Linked DNA regions of Tamandua tetradactyla. The protein of the gene in region 1 purifies or fractionates together with the protein of each later gene. This does not show direct contact. Links are inferred from orthologs where the notes say so. Each region holds a gene or a part of one and is shown in the gene's direction. Other genes may lie near its edges. The genes, in order: CDH5, JUP and CTNND1.

The links.
Region 2: the proteins of CDH5 (region 1) and JUP purify together in Homo sapiens (affinity purification with western blotting; 3 studies listed by BioGRID and IntAct, with this or other methods). This does not show direct contact. The link is inferred for Tamandua tetradactyla from reciprocal best matches to the Homo sapiens genes CDH5 and JUP.
Region 3: the proteins of CDH5 (region 1) and CTNND1 purify together in Homo sapiens (affinity purification with western blotting; 3 studies listed by BioGRID and IntAct, counting the BioPlex papers as one, with this or other methods). This does not show direct contact. The link is inferred for Tamandua tetradactyla from reciprocal best matches to the Homo sapiens genes CDH5 and CTNND1.

Annotation. Positions count from the first base shown.
Region 1 is NC_135342.1:59,935,599-59,939,342, forward strand, and holds the start of CDH5 (cadherin-5), read left to right. Parts: upstream 1-1,148; 5' UTR 1,149-1,248; intron 1,249-3,744. UniProt on the Homo sapiens protein: Cadherins are calcium-dependent cell adhesion proteins. They preferentially interact with themselves in a homophilic manner in connecting cells; cadherins may thus contribute to the sorting of heterogeneous cell types.
Region 2 is NC_135332.1:25,405,274-25,409,017, forward strand, and holds the start of JUP (junction plakoglobin), read left to right. Parts: upstream 1-853; 5' UTR 854-1,033; exon of another isoform or gene 1,034-1,039; intron 1,040-1,478; exon of another isoform or gene 1,479-1,640; intron 1,641-1,649; exon of another isoform or gene 1,650-1,779; intron 1,780-3,744. UniProt on the Homo sapiens protein: Common junctional plaque protein. The membrane-associated plaques are architectural elements in an important strategic position to influence the arrangement and function of both the cytoskeleton and the cells within the tissue.
Region 3 is NC_135335.1:19,845,366-19,849,109, reverse strand, and holds the start of CTNND1 (catenin delta-1), read left to right. Parts: upstream 1-1,113; 5' UTR 1,114-1,790; coding exon of another isoform or gene 1,791-1,835; intron 1,836-3,744. UniProt on the Homo sapiens protein: Key regulator of cell-cell adhesion that associates with and regulates the cell adhesion properties of both C-, E- and N-cadherins, being critical for their surface stability.

The DNA of each region.
Region 1 (3,744 bases):
TGCCCTCTCCCAGGGGACGTCTCACAAGCATCCTCAAGTTAACATGCCCAGAACAGAAAAATCTATATCCCCTCCCCGCCCCCAAACACCAATTCAGCCCATCCCGCATCTCCATACAGTCCTGGGGCCGGGCCCCCCTCTCAGGGCCTCTGTTTATCCAGCTGTATGATGGGACAAGCTCAGGATTTCCCACCGTTCATCTATGGAAAGCCAGGGGCCTCTAGGCCAAGGACAGATTCCCAGGGCCTGGCCAGGGAGATTCCAGATCAGCTGGTTGGGGGGAGGGAGCGGCAGGTCTAGGTACCTGTGGTTTCTAAAAGCCCCCAGATGGCTCTCACAGCTAACAGAATCTGGACCTCCACTGCACCCCCCAGGCCCCAGGCAGGCACCCCTCCCACCCTCAGCATCACTATGTTCTAAGCCCTGCTCTGATTCTTATTTATCCCAATAACCTGTGAAGTTGAGGCATATATATATATGCCCATTTTACAGATGAGGAAGCTGAGGCTCAGGGAGGGGTACTACTAGGCCATGGAACACCAGAAGCAAAGCCAGTACGCTTGGCTCCCACCCAATATTACTAAACCCCAACAGTGGTGGGCGCCTCAGAGCTGGCACTCACCCCCATCCCCATCAGGGGCCCACCGGTCTCTCCAGAGCCAAAAGTGGCTGTTTCCTGCCTCCCACTCACCCCAACCCTGAGGCCCCTGAACTCTCCCCATTGCCTGGAGTCACCCCTCTTCATTCCCCTGCTCCCCAGCATATCCTAGGTCCCAGAAGAAGTCTCAAGCTTGATTTGGAGCTCTACGTTACCCCAGCTAGGTGGACAAGCGTCCTAAACTCGCTGAGCTGTAAATCGAGGGTGAGGATTCCTGCATTCAGGGTGACAGTGAGGGTTAGGCCAGGCCCTCGGCAAGTGCCGTGCTTGGACTCCGGAGCCTGAAGTCTGGAGGTGGGGGTCTGAGTTCAGCTCCCTCAGCCAGGTCCCAGGCTCGGCCTCGGGGGGACAGCCCGGCCGGGCCTGCCTATCTGCAGCCAGCCCCGGCTCACAAAGGAACAATAACAGGAAGCCATCCCAGGGGGAAGTGGGTCCAGGCCAGCTGGAAAACCTGAAGGGGCGGCGGCCCGGCCTCCCTCGCCGGGCCGGGTGTGGCTCCCCTCGAGAGGCGGTCGGCCGAGCTCCACAGCACACACAGCCCAGGACAGACGGTCAGACAGAACAGAGGCCCTGCTCGGCCCCCAGGCACGGTGAGTGAGGGCTTCCCGCACCCCACCCCACCCCCAGCCCAGGATGGAGGCTCCTCAGCTTCCCGATCTGTGGAATGGACACTGCTGGGTTCCCCCAGGGCAGAAGGGGCCTCCCCAGGCTCAGCTGGGAAGGGTGCCTGCCGCAGGTACACACAGCGGTTCTAGGTGCTGGGGGGGGGCGCATTCAGCCCACCCACAGATGGGCTCCCCAGCTCGGCGTGGTCCCCGGGGCCCACTGAGCCTCGAAGACCACTGGTTCTATTGGTGCCCAGAGAGAATGGGACTGTCCCCGAGTCACCGGGCACACCAAGGGTAGAAGACTGGCACCCAGGGCCTGGCTTCCCCGTCCCTTCCTTCCCCGACAGGAAAGGATTTACCTCGGCCTGTAGCCCCGTTCACTCCCTCCCACTGGTCTCAGGTCTGCACAAGGATGGGCGAAGGAGCCCCAAAGGGGGAGCTCTAAGCCTCAGCCATCTCTACTAGCCAGTGCCCCTATTTTCAGGATAGGCAAGCCGAGGCTCAGCACTGAGCTCCTGAGGCCCTACCTGTGGTTTCTCCCTGCCCCCAACGCCACAGAGGTCCCCTCAGGCCATGAGAGCTGCTGTCAGGAAAGCCGCCCACCCCTACCCCTCCCCCCCCAAAGTGCAGATCCCCAGGGCTGGGGCCTGAGGCCCTGTGGCCTCACTTCTCCAGGAGGCCCGGAAGACCTGCAGGGCCCCAGCTTGGGGACAGTGGACCTGGGAGCAGAGCTCAGCCTTCCCCTCACTTCCCCCAGGACCTCGGGAAAGTCACCTGAAGCCTCCAAACCTCAGTCTGCTTGTCTGAACAACAGAGAGACAGACTCTTGTTGCAATCCATTGTGAGAACTAGAGGTGACGCCCACCGAAATGGGGTTCGTTATTTTACTATGATCAGCCTTCTTGGTGGAGGCAGCAGAGCTGTGGAGACGTAAGAAGTGGAGGGGGATTCGAACTAGAACCCTAAATTCAGGCTTCTTCCAGCACCCCGTAGCTTCTACAAGTCCGTTTTCTGTAAAACGGAGGAAAGAGTCTTTTCAGGAGTCAGTTAAATGATGGGGTGCTCAGCCCCCCGCATGTGAGTAGTGCACAGAAGGGGGACCTTTAAGGAATCGTGGCTGGTGGCTGGCATGGTTGTGAATGTTGTAAAGGTGTTTTTGGCACCTGAGGCACGGCCCAGGGTGTCGTGACTGGTCCCCAGGCCCGCCCCTGGCAAGGGGGTCGCTGGGAGATGCGGGTGAGACGCTGGCCAGTCACCCGTTCCTTGGCAGGCACTTCAGGAGGGCAACTATTCCATGCCCGGCCCTGTACTCAGCACCCACCTTCATCCTCCGGAGGGGGCGAGGGCAGGACACGGTTCCTGCCGCGTGTGCTGGGCATATAGGATCTGGCAGGAGACAAAGGGCATGCCTGGGGAGCCGGGAAAGCCCAGGCCGCTGAGAGGACTCGGGAGTCTGGTGTAGCCAAAGTGTTCTTTAGACCAGGGAGAGAGGAGGCAGGACTGGTGGCACTGCAGACCACACATGCCAGGACCAGGAGCTTTGGTTCACCCTCCAGCCCAGGCAGCCATGAGTGTCTCCTCTGCCCGGCCTGCACCCAGCTCACCTGTAAACCCCCACCCTGGAGGGCAGCAGGTGCCCCTCTGAGGGTCTAAGGAGCTGCTGAGCCCCCAAACAGCACTGCCAATCCCAGCTGATGGGGAAGAAGTGTCTACCGCCTGGGAAGGGGTTAAGCTGCCTACGGTCTCCACCTGACCAATTGTGCTGCTGAACAAGAGCCGGACATGAAGGCAGGAAGCTGCAGGGGCCATACGTATTTTCTCCCAAAGTCGGATGACTCATAGCTCTGCTGCTGGCCTGGGGACGCACAGTGGACACAGCGGCCACCAGCCCAGGAAAATTCTCAGGGCTCTTGCCTGGGTGGACCCATCCCTCCTACTTCCATCACCTCTCTGCAACCCCAGGCATGCCTGCAAGAAGTTGCATTTGACAGATGGGACAGTCTGAGGCCACACGGCTAGTACAAGGCGGGAGCAGGACACAAATGAGTCTCTGTCCCTTCTGACCCCACAGCCATTGCCACACTCCCAGATGGAACTCAAAGAGAAAGAAAGTCAGGGAAACATGAACCTGATTGTTCAGGCCACAGAAGCAGGCAGGAGGACGAGCCAGGAACCTGACGATGCTGAGGAAGGAATGTCCTAGGGGACTGGGTCTGCACACAGGGGCTTGGGGTCTGGCTAAGGAGATGACAAAACACCATGCCAACCCAGGCCTAAGCTGGTGTCACATGGAGAAATCACAGAGGGCTGCCTGGAGGAAGAACAGGAGCTTCAGATGCCATGGGGCCTTGGACAGCCCTTCCACACTCTGGGCCTCAGTTTTCCTATCTCTCTAGAGCAAGGGATGGACCCCAAAGTTTCTAAGCTCATTCAGGGACCCCCAAATTTTTTGCTTTGGGCCACAGCAGTAACAGTCAC
Region 2 (3,744 bases), on another chromosome or scaffold:
ACTTTCTAGTTCTGTGACCTCTCTGAACCTCAGTATCCTCATCTGTGAAATAAAACATAGTTCTGCTGCCCTAACAATTTTTTAGAATTGTATTGAGAATTAAAAAAACATATAGTTAAAGTCTAACATTTAGTTCTCCAAGTGCTATCACAAATCTTACTTCTTTTAACTTCCACATACTCCAGTGAGATGGATATAATTAATGTACCCATCTTAGACATCATATAGCTAATAAGTGGCAGAATCCAAATCCAGGCCTTCTAATTCTAAATCCCATGAGCATGGCATCTTTTGTTGGGGAAAAATCCCAACCCATCAAAAAACTCTCAGAAATGCGATACAAATATTTTATTACTACTTTGGAACAAGGGTGAATAAGCCCAAAGAAGCATCATGCTTGACGCTGAGTTGGCTGGTAGCTGAGTTGGCTGGCCGCTGAAGGCGTCTGTCCTTTCCCAGGGCGCTCCCTGACTCACCTGTTGGACAGGTAGGGGGGAGAGTAAATGAGTCTTACCTGCTCAGAGCTAGGGTGGGGCAAGATACACCCCATTTCTCCCATTGGTCTTTCCTGAGTCTTACTGACAACCCCTTGCCCAATCAGGAGGAAGTAACCTTTTATTAGCCAGTAGGTGCGGAGTTAGGATGGGACCTGAAGTTAAGAGTCAGTCCCCAGAGCCGACTGGCAGTCCCTGGGGCCAATGGCGAGCGGATAAACAGAGGCGGCCGTGGTAGAAAACTGGGCGCGAGGCTCCGCCCCTCGCTGGGACTGTCAGGCGCGGCAGCCAGTTAACTCGCTTCAGCGGGTGGGCGTTTCCCTGGGGGGCGGAGCTTCAAGGGGGCGAAAGGCGTGTCTTGGCTGTCAGGTCCCTTCGCCTTTTGTTCGGTTACTGAGTTGCTGCCTTGGCCAGAGTCCGGAGCAGCCGCCGCCCGAGCGCGCCGAGTTCAGTTAGCTTCCCGCGCCGGCCCCGATCCCGGCCCGTCCCCGACCCTGCCCGGCCAGGTTTCATACGCAGGTGCGGACGATCGGGGGCAGGTATCACTGGGGAGAGAGAAACGGCGGCTAGGGACAGGGAGGCCGCTCCCAGCCTACTCAGGGCAGGTGAGGGAGGGCGGTAGGGGGGCGCCACCCTGCACCAGCGGCAGGGGGCGCGCTGGGACCTGGGCGCGGCGACTAAAGGGGCGCGAGGTTTGGTCCGAACGCGACTGGGACTCTAGGAGAGGGAGATGTGAGAAGGGCTGGGAGGGATCAGGGCAGGTGCCTCCCGGGTCGCGCTCTCGTCGGGGGCCGCAGAGCTTTCCCGACGCCGGGTCCCTGCCTCTCTCTCCGCGCCTTCCGAGCAGGCTTTGGCCAGCTGTGCCTGGGTCCCAGGTCGCACTCACTCTACAGTGGGAAATTTACTGTTTGGGAAACTTGCTGTCGCTGGTCTCTTTGGGGCCACCCTCACCCCACCCCACGCGTCATCCTCGCTTTCCCTCCCTCCTTCCTCCCCCAGGCCTGGGTGGGGCCCTATTGTCTGCGCCCGGCTTGCCCAACTCTGGGGGCCGAACACACATTTTCTCAGCGACGCGGTCCCCACCTGCCGAGCAGGTGAGCGCAAGGAGGCCAGAGGCCCTGCCCTCCCACTCCCGGAGCCCGGTCGGTACTGTACCTGGGGCACCTCCCTCCGTTCCGTGGGCGCTGGGCTACGGCTTCCCAGGGGAGACGAGATGGGGTGACCGTGGGGCTGTGCAGGGTCGGGTCTGCGCCAGCTGATGTTTGCACCCGCGGCTCGGCTCTGTCTGGGTGGAGGGGGTCTGTGTTTGGGAATCTGAGCAGAGAGGTCACCTGGCCCAGTTTCCAGTAGCTGTGACTTCCAGAATGTTAATATGGAAACAGGACTACCCTTCTTCTCTAACATCTTATTATTGGAAAAATCACTCAAAGCAAACTTTCTAGGAAGAAGTATTCATTGCTGCTTTCTCTGGGGGTTTTCCTGTCTCCTTGCCCAGAACTACCCCAGGCTTCTGGGGTCCTTCTTGCAGAGGGCAGAGCCCCTCCCCCAGCTGGCCCCAGGCTGGACCAGGGCCAGCCCTGTGCTTAGACCCTGTCCTCCCCAGCCCAGCCTCCATCCTGTTTGCTGGGCCCCAGGGGCCTGAGGTGGGGCCTGGGGTGGGGGCTGTGGGCCAAAAGGGGAAGCAGCTTCTTCCTTCTCTTCCTGCCTCCTGGGACCACCACACCCCCTCGGAGGAGGCTTTCCTTCCCGAGCTCTGGGCACCCCCATCCCAGGAATGGGGGGTGGGGCAGGTCTGGGCCAGACTGGGAACGGGGATGGGCTGTTCTTGTCTTTTTCTTTCTCCACCCATCCCTCATGCTCTTTAGTTGCCTGGTAATTGAGGCAGAAGAGCATGGAGCAATGGGTCTTGATTTCTACTTGATTTCTGAAGTATAAAGGTACATTCCTTCTGGAAGCTTTTGCAGCCCTTTTACCACCCACCCCACCTTCCTGCGAGATTTTGATGGCGAAAGTGGGACAGGAGGAATGCTTTTGGAGGGAAGTTTGTTCGACACTAGGCTCTCTGGAGCAGAGTCCCCTCCGAACCTCTTCCCCCTATTTCCTGAGGAACGTCTCCCAACTCCTGCACCCAAGCTGGATATTTCAACCAGGCTTTCCACGCTGCCTTCTAAAAACCCGAGGTGTGGCTTTTTTACAAGTCCAGCAGTCCAGTCCTTGGGGGTGGGGTGGGGATATGTAAGACCCATCTTTCCCTCAGTCCTAGGATCGAAGTGGGGATTAGAGGGGAGAATCCCAGCTGCTTACCCAGGCCCGCTTGGGAAGATGCCACCGCCTTGTTCCAGGCTGTGGATGGAGAGTTGGAGGAGGGGGTCTCAAACCAGTAACTCAGCCCCACCTCTTCCCCCAGGGCTCATTCCTGTGCAGTAGTCCGGGCTGGGGAAGGGACTGGTAGGGAACTACACCTCTTGGGAGCCACAGGGGCCTGGAGTTTGGGCAAAAATATCCTGTTTTCGCTTCTCCTCGCAGTGCATTGGTGGAGGAGGGGAAGGCATTGTAATTACATTGGCCGGATGATTCGTTTAGGTAATCTGGTTTGGGGCCTTGATGAAAAGATAATACTCAGGACTATTGCTAGGAGGTGCTTGTGAAAGCTGGCTATTTGCTGGAGGGGAGGAGGAGGATATTAGAGGAGGGAGAAGGAAAGAAAAGGTAGGATTGGATTAGTCATTTCTTGCTGGATCAAGCCCCAGCTTGGGTGATAGGAACCCTTTCCACTTGCCCCCGCCCCCCACCCCACCCCCAGCTCCACCTTCTAGCACCCTGCTTGGGCCGCCAGGACTGAGATTTTGAGAATGCTGTGAGTAGGAATCTAGGAGGTCAGGCTGGGGCTGGGCTCTCGCTGCAGGCCCCTGGAGGGAGCACAGACGAGGGGAGGGGCTCTGCCGGCCCGGGAGCTCTTGGAAAAGGAGACAGCCACGCACTGGCCTGCTGAGGGGTGGTTACTGGAAAAGGCATTTCAGTGGGGTAAAATTCTCAGCACAGGGATTTGGACTTTGCCTGAGCTAGGCTTGAATCTCGGCTCTGTCACTCATTACTTATGTGACCGTAGTCAAGTCGTTTCCCTTCTCTGAGTGTCAGTGACCTCTTTGACAAAATGAGGAACAATAGTACCTATCTGCCCAGGGAGTACTTGATAAACAGTAACTTTTAAAATTTAAAAATAAGGGAGGATTTTACAGCTACCAAGCAC
Region 3 (3,744 bases), on another chromosome or scaffold:
ACACTGGCTACTCTTGGCTCAGAGGTTCCTGAACACAGTGAACCCAAATGACACTGGAAACTGGCAAATAATTTGGCCTTAAGGTTCCTTAGTGGTGAATTAACTATCCTGGGGCAAGGATAGTTAAGCTTCCTATCCCTCCCCAAACAAACTGCAAATCCTGACTTCAGGATTCCTACTTTTCCAGCTGGTTGCACTGAAATTCCCACACTCACTGCACAGCTGTGTCCCTTTACTGGCATGCAGTTTTCTGTCAGGTGGCACCGAGGGTTCTAATGCTTCAGGTCAGAACTGTCAGGAAAGAAAAGAGTGGACAGGAAAGGATAGGGCAACTCGGATCAGAGCCAACTGATCAGAGCCAACTGGATCAAAGCCAACTGATCTGGCAGCTATCCCAAGGACCCAAACCTAGGCCCTGGGGAAGCTTTCCAGCCCACGGACAAACGGCTTTGTCCCCAGGCCTAACCTGGAATCGATCTGCAGTAGGAGTTACTCTTGCCGTTTTCTCTGTGCTTGGGTCCTCTGTCCAGCCTGCCCTGCTGCCTCCCAAAGTCCAGCCTCTCCGCAGAAAGGTTTAGCAAAGCATCACAGGTAGGCCGACGGCCGGGGCAGTGCCCCTCCACCTCCAGAACCAAGGGAATCGGGGTTGCCGGCACGGGGCTTCAGGAAAGGCCCTGCAAAGCTGGGCGCCCCGCACGCCCCGGGCCCAACTCCTTTGAAGACAGACCTCTCGGCGCGCGAAGGTTTCTGGGAATGGAGCGTGGGTGATCCTGGGGGCCGGGATTCAGGGCTCGCCCTCACTGCCACCTCGAGGCCACATGGGGTTTGCAGTCACTCCCTGGTGCGTTCGTACGGCCACGGGCCACGGTGCCCACATGCACCGGGCAGCGGTGACAGCTAGCGCCCGAGGCCACGCGGCGAGACCACGAGTCACGCGCCGCGCCTACCTCGCGTGAGGAGCGTCGCGGGGGACGACGTCCTCGCCCCCCCCAAGCCGGCCTACGTCTGCCTGAGTACGTCCTCCCCATTGGCTGGAGGTTCCACGGAGAGCCAATCACAGGAGGAGGAGAGCTTTGGGCGGGAGGCTAACTCTCGAGGGACTTGAGGGCTGAGGAGAGACGTATGGCCAGGGCCAGCTCGGGAGGAACCCTCAGGGAAGCCGTCGTGTTCTCTGAGTTCGAGGAGGACACCCAGGAAAGAGGGTCACAGGCCCCGAGGCGGTTGAAGGACAGCTCCCTCTTCCCCCTGGAAGAGGCTGCTATAAGGGCTGCGGGCTTCATGGAGGAAAAAGTCTTTGGTGGTCTCTCTCTCACACATCGGCCCGCATCCCTCTAGCTCAGACATTCCTTTCCCAAGGCCAGGAATGTTCTGGAACAAGGTCATTGGGCTAGTTTTGAATTCGAGTGTTTCACTGAATCTACTCCCAGCCCCGGCCCCCGGAGAACTGGTGACCAAGAGGATTGCCCGAAATTCCCTTCAGGCGTGGTTCCTCCAGAGGTGATTTGTGTAGCGCAGTGTCTGTCTGGGAATAGGTGTTTTCAGGACTGGTCCTCAAAAGGAAATGATCTCAGGATTAAGCATTTGCACGGAATGACAGGCTGCGTGCGAAAGCTCCTGGCCAGCGGTTTCCTTGTGTGAGTGAAGCTCGGGATCCTGGTCTGGGGTATCGTCCCTCGGTGCATGTCCCGTGGCGTCCAGCCCTAGATGCACATGGCCGAGTCCAAAACCCCTGGTGACAAAGCGTGGTGAGTTGCGACCGAGCAGCCGCCACCGAGGCCCAGGAAAGGAAGATGTCCAAGAGAAGGGGAACCTGGAAAAGCACAGACCAGAGAGAGGTGAGTAGTGAAGTGTGCTCAAGTAGATCTTAAGTGGATCGATATCGAATCCCTTTTGAAAAAGGATTGGGGGTGGCACACTGACATATGGGAGGGCTGAGGCGGTGGGAAGGGATATTTCTAAGTCAAGTGGTTGGTATTTTTCCCTAGTTTGAGGCTTCTGCTCTTAGGGTGGAAAAAGAAAGGAGGAACAGAAGACATTGTCGGTTGCAGTTTGGTGAGGAAGCAGTTTGTGAAAGGACATAAAACTTAGCGGAATTTAGCAGTTGTCAGCAGCACACACCCCCAAAAGAAAGGCAGAAGAACAATGCTTGTTTTTGGCCTCTGTTGCTGTCAGAATCAAAACTTGATTAGGCTGGCAGAGGATCAGTATATGTGATTCTGTGGAAGTTGTAAAGAAAATATAAATATTACATCCCCTTATGGGTATATTTCCATCACTATTAAATTAATTTTCAAGAAGTCGGGAGGAATCAGTTTTTGTTTTTATTTTGAATCTAACATCATTTTAGTGAAATCTTGTGTTGGTGGAATTTCTAAAGGGAATGATAAATGCCAGTCCTACCCAGGGCTTCCAAAATGACAAACTTTTACACATTACACATAGTAATGTGTAGCTACCAGAGGGTAGAGAGGAGTAAAACTATTTTGTTTTCCTTTACGGGGATAGCCAGTGATTTTTTGAAGTTGAATTATTTTTATCTCCACTCCTTGGCCTTTCTAGTTTTAGTTTATTTTAGAAGATACAGCACAGCACCTTGCCCTGTGTAATAACCTTAATATTCCTTTTTTTTTTTTACATGGGCAGGCACCGGGAATCGAACCCCGGTCCTTTGGCATAGCAGGCAAGCATTCTTGCCTGCTGAGCCACTGTGGCTCACCCTAATATTTCTTTTTTAAACACCTTTTTCCCACTCTCTCAGTTCTCCCCTAATTTTTCACCATCTTATGGTATCTTGTGTTTCTGTGTATGTATGTATGTAGTGATGGTGGTGCGTGGGGGAGTTAAGCTTTGAGAGTTGCAAAACCAAGCTTTGGCTGAAATATTTCGTGCATTAAAAACAAAAAACAAAACAAGAAACAGAGACAGAAAAGGAGAAAAGAAGCATCTCAAACAAAAACAGCCCTGTGTCTCTAAAACATATATCCTCAACCCATTAACTTCTCTCCTTTTTTTTTTACTTCTATCACCATAGTCCAAGACCCCAACACTGCAGTTTGACCCCTACAACAGCCTTTGTCTGCTTGCTTTTCACTGTTTGCCCACTCTTTAATCTGTTTGTCACATAAGCAGCCAGATCTTTTCAAAACGTGAGTTAGATCATGTAATTATTCTGTTTAACCCCACAGGTTTTCCTCTATTTAAGAATAAAATCCAAATTATTTACTCTGACCTATAGAACCCTTCATACTCTGATCCTCATCAATTTCTCCATCCTTGTTTCTGACAAGTTCTGCCCAACGCAGTATTTTCAGCCCCACACCTCAGGGCTTTGGCATTTGCAGTTACCATTGCTCATATCCTCTCATGGTCGGCCTCTTATCATTCAGATTTCAGTTTAAAAGTCACCTCTTCAGAGGGTTTGTCCTTCACATCCTATCTAGAGTAAGCCTCAAGGGAGTCTCATCAATCTGTTTTAAATCTCCGCATAGCATTCCATCTGACATTATCTTACTTATTTATTAATCTTCTCTCCCCATCCTAGAATGTAAGCTTTATAAGAGCAGGAAACATGTCTATCTTATTATCCTTGACATCTACACCAGGACCTGACTCACTGTGGGTAATCAAAATAATCAGATGAAACTAGTCTTTTTGTTTTCTATTAACTGAGTGTAAACAGTTTTTCCCTCAGCCAGTGAAAATTAATGCTTGTGATGCCCTAATTTGAGATAGCTGTTTCAGAGA